2 linked regions of the Kluyveromyces lactis genome follow. Each later gene encodes a partner of the first gene's protein in a complex. Links are inferred from orthologs where the notes say so. Each region holds a gene or a part of one and is shown in the gene's direction. Other genes may lie near its edges.

The links. Proteins that work in one complex are often made in the same cells at the same time.
Region 2: the proteins of PET112 (region 1) and GTF1 are in contact, whole or in part, in a crystal structure (PDB 4N0I), measured with the Saccharomyces cerevisiae proteins. The link is inferred for Kluyveromyces lactis from reciprocal best matches to the Saccharomyces cerevisiae genes PET112 and GTF1. Residues at the interface, in NP_009473.2 of Saccharomyces cerevisiae: Asn43, Ser47, Gln48, Ser49, Thr50, Pro60, Asn61, His62, His63, Thr64, Ser65, Tyr66, Ile69, Leu71, Leu78, Asn79, Leu80, Glu81, Ile83, Leu84, Phe109, Gly111, His163, Val171, Ile172, Thr173, Leu174, Val175, Asp176, Leu177; in NP_011616.3 of Saccharomyces cerevisiae: Arg79, Leu80, Ser81, Gly82, Thr130, Lys131, Gln132, Leu133, Asn134, Tyr135, Leu138, Gly141, Ile142, Gln145, Lys146, Gln147, Ala149, Glu150, Leu151, Gly152, Glu153, Ser155, Gly156, Trp158, Ala160, Thr161, Leu163, Lys168, Ala170, Tyr171.

Annotation. Positions count from the first base shown.
Region 1 is NC_006041.1:1,835,595-1,839,179, forward strand, and holds PET112 (glutamyl-tRNA(Gln) amidotransferase subunit PET112), read left to right. Parts: upstream 1-1,463; coding exon 1,464-3,083; downstream 3,084-3,585. Other genes in the region: KLLA0_E20637g (uncharacterized protein), read left to right, coding at 149-1,084; KLLA0_E20681g (uncharacterized protein), read right to left, coding at 3,548-3,585. UniProt on the Saccharomyces cerevisiae protein: Allows the formation of correctly charged Gln-tRNA(Gln) through the transamidation of misacylated Glu-tRNA(Gln) in the mitochondria. The reaction takes place in the presence of glutamine and ATP through an activated gamma-phospho-Glu-tRNA(Gln).
Region 2 is NC_006040.1:1,295,591-1,298,092, reverse strand, and holds GTF1 (glutamyl-tRNA(Gln) amidotransferase subunit F), read left to right. Parts: upstream 1-1,463; coding exon 1,464-1,988; downstream 1,989-2,502. Other genes in the region: mRNA-binding ribosome synthesis protein NOP7, read right to left, coding at 1-938; rhomboid protease PCP1, read right to left, coding at 2,079-2,502. UniProt on the Saccharomyces cerevisiae protein: Allows the formation of correctly charged Gln-tRNA(Gln) through the transamidation of misacylated Glu-tRNA(Gln) in the mitochondria. The reaction takes place in the presence of glutamine and ATP through an activated gamma-phospho-Glu-tRNA(Gln).

The DNA of each region.
Region 1 (3,585 bases):
GTAATGGAATATAAAAGATGATACCAGAAACCTTGGGTCCTGATTATAAGTTCAAAATTAAGTAAATTATCAATTAAATCTCCTGCTTTGAAAAGTACTACCCGGCAATTTTCCTATAGAAAAGCGTTCGCTCAAACAGAAGGCAAAAATGGTCGGAAAGCTTAGAAGAAAGATCCCATTGGATAACCAAGATGTTAATACCCAGCCGGCGAAAAGGATGTGCTTAAAAAAAAATATCCTATTGGAAGATTTGAATAAGGAGAATATTCCGATTGAAATACCTTACTTAAACGAAAGCCCTCAATCAGCTAGCAGCAGCCTTACAGGGGTTTTGAACTTACATCTCGAAAAACAATCTCCACAACGCAAAAGGCTGTCCACCAATATAGAGACGGACACTGTGTTAGATACGAAAAAGCAAGAAGTTTTGACTTCTTTAAAGTTAGAAGAATTACAAGATAATTTTAAGGACCTTGAAAGAAGATTAAGCATTCAAAATCGTGATTATTTCATCAAAGACGCTCACTATTCAGATGAAGATTTGACGAAGTGTAGAACTAATTTTTTGTTTGAATTGGAATGCTTACCAAACTTGAGCTGGTCTCAAAAAGGTAACCTTCGAACTGCTAGCTATATTCCGTCAGTGTACCAAAAGTTGGACCCAAATTGGTATTTTTCACAGGCGTTTTCAATTGATGATTTTACCAACTTGCCTGAATCAGTTAAGCCATTCTATATATTAAACCCAATGAATGAAGTACCAGAGTGCAATAACCAACAAATTGAACCAGTTGGACCGGAAAAGGCAACTGTGCATATTGAAAACATCGAACCTCTTTCTAAAATGATACCCAGCTCCAAATTAAAATTCCGTGCTAAGTCGTGTGCTTTTGATGAAGATATTGATTGCCAACTGTTGTTTAAGCAGAAAATTTCAGATTGTAACTATTACGAAGACGAAGTTGATCAAATATCACTACCAGATAGTTTGGATCACTGTAGATCTGTTAAGAAAAAGGTTACGGACGGAAAGAAATCTTTGAACAGAAACTCTATTCTATTCCACACCGATAAAAGGAACTAGTTAGAAACAATAATTATGGCTGTTCGAAAACCAAGATAATTCTGAAACGGTGTATAATATTTATGAAAAATGTATAAAACAGAATAAGGCAAACAAAGCTCAAACTATCCAAATACACTGTGTGCACAAGTTATGTCACTTTCAATCGTCAGTTAAATAAATCTGTCATCGTGCTTATGGCACATTTTCTAAGGTTCGGGTAAAAAACATGAAATTTGAATTAACAGAAGCAATGAACATGAATATAAAGACAAACATACTTGACAAAAGAACGGCTTTTAGGCGCTGTGTGTTAGTGATTTTACCAACTGCTTATTAGCTGTTTTTGAATTTCTAGTGGGTGTTATACTACTGAGTGATAAGCTATAAATAACCAGAAATGTTGGTGTTTAGAAGGAACTATGCTAAGAGGAATACTGGTTCCAAATTCAAAATTCTTCCTGAGTATAAGTTAAAATGCGGACTTGAAATCCATACTCAACTGAATACAGACAATAAGCTTTTTTCAATGTCAACTAACAGCCCGTTTGCAGATGTGGATAAGCCAAACTATCATACATCGTATTTCGATGTTTCGATACCCGGAACACAACCAATACTCAACTTGCAGGCAGTTCTATTTGCATTGAAGTTATCGCTAGCATTACGATGCAAGGTCAGTCTAAACTCACATTTTGACAGAAAACATTACTTCTATGGTGATCAACCATTGGGCTATCAAATCACACAACATTACAATCCTTTCTCAAGTAAAGGTAAACTACGATTGTACAAAGATTTAGACTCTATTGAAGAGGCTTTCAAAGACATATCTGTCATTCAGTTACAGATAGAACAGGATACAGGTAAATCTGTATATAACTCTACTGACTCCAATACAAAAATCGACTTAAATCGTTCGAATGTGCCATTGATCGAAATGGTGACTGAACCCGATTTTACAGACCTAAAACAGATAAGAGCTTTCATCAAGAAATATCAAAACCTTGTCAGACATTTGAAGATATCTACAGGTGACCTTGAAACGGGCGCGATGAGGGTTGATGTAAATCTTTCTATTAATGATTACGCCAGAGTAGAGTTGAAGAATTTACCAAATACTAGCTCAATCACTAATGCTATCAAATACGAATACAATAGACAAGTTAACATGATAGAAAAAGGCGAAGGTGACCAACTCAAACACACAGAAACTAGGGGATGGACAGGTTCGGAAACTGTTAAACTCAGAACTAAGGAAAGTATCATAGACTACAGGTATATGCCGGATCCAGAACTACCAAATATTCTTTTAACCAATGAAATAGTTGAAGGAGTAGAAAAGACAATTCCAACGTTACCAGACGATACCTGTATGATGTTAATGCAAGAGCCCTACGGTCTAACTTTAAAAGATGCAAAAATTCTCACAATCAATAGTAATGGCCATGATGATTTGTATTCCCATGATGAATTAAGAGCATGCTATTTTAGTACATTTGATGCATATCACTCATTATGCAAGAAACAAAACGAAGAGTTCGTGAGAAAACTACCTGCAAATTGGATAATTCATGAACTTTTGGGAAACCTAAACAAGATGGAAATTCCTCTCATCAAAGTTTCCCATATTCTACCTCCGGAGAAATTTGCTGAATTACTCTTGCTAATCTCTAAGAAAACCATCAGCAACGCCAGTGGTAAGCTTTTATTATCGCATATTTTGAATTCCTTTAAGGAGAACTCTTTTGTGGCTTCTGAGCCAATAAATTTCAATGCTCTAATTGAGGAATTTGAGCTACATGCAGTCTCAGATGTTGGTTCGGAAGAGCTCGAATTAATTTGTGAAAGTATAATTACCGAACTCAACAATAACAAAATGATTGAAGATATTAAATCTGGTAAGAAGAAAAATTCTATTAAGTTCCTTGTCGGTCAGGCCATGAGGATATCTCAAGGTAGAATACAAGCTCAAGAATTCGAAATTACTTTCAAAAGACTTCTTGGTGTTGAACCGTGATTACATTCCTTCGCTAACATGTCCACACTATCATCCATGTAAATACAGAATAGATAAGTTCATAATGAACATACTACGATCCAAAACTATTTTAAGATTATTCAAAGGATAATTCACCGAAATACCTTTTAACTACCTGACTAATATGAAAGTATATACCATTTATAAAATTTCCTTACTATAAACCTTGTATACCAAGTGTGTAGAACCATTCTACAAATACTGAATAAAAATATTAGGGTACCCATACCATTGAAAAGAAAAATTAGGCAGTCACCTTCTTAAGGTAATTGCAACAATAAACAAAATCCAGGTTTGGAAGAAATGAAGAAATAGAAACTTCAGGCTATAATTAGAGGGGAACCGAACTTACAATGTACAGTTTTTCGGAAAGATGAAACTACTCATGGGTTGTGTAGTTGCATTAGTGGAATATCGCATAAATTTCGAAACGTTGAAATTCTTTAACTCCAAACGCTCATGTCAGAATTCCAGATGGAAA
Region 2 (2,502 bases), on another chromosome or scaffold:
TCTTGGTCTTGTTCCTCTTCGTCATGTTCATTAGAGTCTGCCTTCAAAGCGGTCTTTAAGGTATTAGCTCCCAATTCCTGAACTTCAACGTTTTCCGATAGCTCCTTTGGTTTCACAGCCAACGAACTCTTCTCATCATTAGATTCCAAGATGTATGCACTTAATCCCCCGATCAGCTTGTTCTTCTTAATATCCAACTTCGGAGGATATACCAAACCGGCATCTGTGTACAACTTGAACAAAACGAAATGCAACAAAGTAGAGTAAAACTCCAAGAAAGTTAACATGATCCTGAAATCGACATCGCTTGGAATATTTTCAGGGAACTTGTATGGTACCAACCATCTGACATCTTCACCTTTTACACTGGCTTGGTAATAAACACCCTTGATGGAAACAAATACCTTACGTACGCATCTTTCCTTGGCAATGTATGCAGACCATTGATCACACATTTGCTGTGCACTTTGTGTGATTCTAGAAGACACTTGATCGGTAGCTGGCAAGTTGGCGAACAAGAACAACATGTTCAAGGCATCGTCCACATCTCTCAAGGCATCAGCAAAAGATGGATAACGTTCCTTGATGATATTATCTAATTGATAGTTAGGTCTGTTCTCTTCCAATCTCTTAGCTGCTGACACTTCTCCTCTCCCTAGAGCCTTAGTCAACTTTTTAGCAAAAGTCTTATGTTCTCTGAACTTGGCCAATACAGGCTCATGCATCAAATACTGAATATCCTTATAATAATAGAAAGTGGTAGGAGCCGTAGATCCTTTATTAGCCTTCTTCTTATTCCTAGGTTCTCTGGGGTAAATACCCTTGAAGATACACAATCTTCTAAAATCAGCTAAAGAGATCTGTAGTTTACGAACGGCCTGAGACCTGGTAATGAAGTTTCTAGCATTACCTCTGGTATTTCTCTTCTTAATTCTCATCTTGAACAAAAAAAAGTATCTCTCCTTGTCTAGTTAGTTAGCTATCTTTTAAACCTGAACCTGGAAGATTACTCTAGCTTATCAAATTGAATCACTTTATAACTTAACTAGAACCACCAAAGACAAGCTATCGAGATAGCAATTGTCTATTCAATCATTCATTGTACGTATAATAAGTGATGTATGTGCAATTTGTATTTGAAGCTCATCGCATCTCATCGCATCTCGAAAACGAAAATTTTCAGAAATTGAAAAAGAAATTATCAATCACGTGATACAAATATTCAGACTTAAGTTGACTACATCCCAAAAGGGGAATATTTGGGGCACAATATCAAAACCGTACAAGATGAGTTTCTGAATTTATTCACGTGATCATTAAAATGTTTAATTACAGCTTGCACGTCGGAAATGTAAAGAAAGGTTCCTTATTCTGACTTTTAAATTTGAAGAGGATAAAAACGTTGTGACTGGTATATTCCCGGGCTCTCACCTGTATATCTCAAACATCTCATACCAATAACAATGCTTCTTGCTTTAAGAAGAAAAGCAATCCACGGCATTCGTTTCTCCAGTGGTAAATGTGGTCAGAATTTGAGTGGCTCCACGATAGGACCGAAATTTACCAGCGATAAAGAGGTTGAAGAATTTTTGAGTAAGAGTACATGGGATGTACGAGAATATGTTCCCTCATCGGTAGATGAGAAATTGATTCCATCAGAAGAAACTGTGGTGAGATTGTTAAAGATTTCCGGACTTCCAATAAAGAATATAGACCAGATTCAAATCAGGCTTGCGAACCAACTTTCGTTCATCAACCGTTTGCATAATCTTCCTGTTGACGAAAATATAAATCCAAACCATGCAAGAATTATAGAAAGGAATCCAACTCCGTTGGATTACGAGGGATTAATCAAAGGGATTGCAAGCCAGCAGAAATCGGACTCATTGGGCGAAATAAGCGGATCATGGGATCCTACCAAAACCGCTGCAGTGAAAAGAGATGGGTTTTTCATCTTAAGGGAAGGCCTACTTAAGGGAAGAGATTGAATATTCAGGGTTGGGACGAAATAGCCCTTTATTTTAACTCATATGTACTATTTACAGAGGTAGAAGAAGTAAAAAGATGGTAAGTATAACTCAGAATCTTGGGAATACTCCAAGGGATAACCTTTTCTCTCTTTGTTTCTGGATAGACTTCGCAACTAGCCATCCGTACAATACACCCATCGCAGAACCACCTAAATGTGCTGCATAATCGAATGACCCCCATCTCAATGCGCATCCTACGACGTTCCATGTCACTAATCCAAGGAATGTGAACCATGCACCGAATGGCACCGGAAAGATGAAGAACATCATCTTAGCGTTTGGAATCAAGTACGAGAAACAACCGAATAATCCGAAAAGAGCTCCGGATGCTCCCAAACTAGGACCCATCATAGCAATTTTAGCAAACCTGGGGTACCATAGAGAGAAAAGGGAACCAGCAATAGCACTGTTAAGATAGAGACTGGTGAAATTTCCAGGTCCCAACATCGTGACTAAACTGGTACCGAAGGAG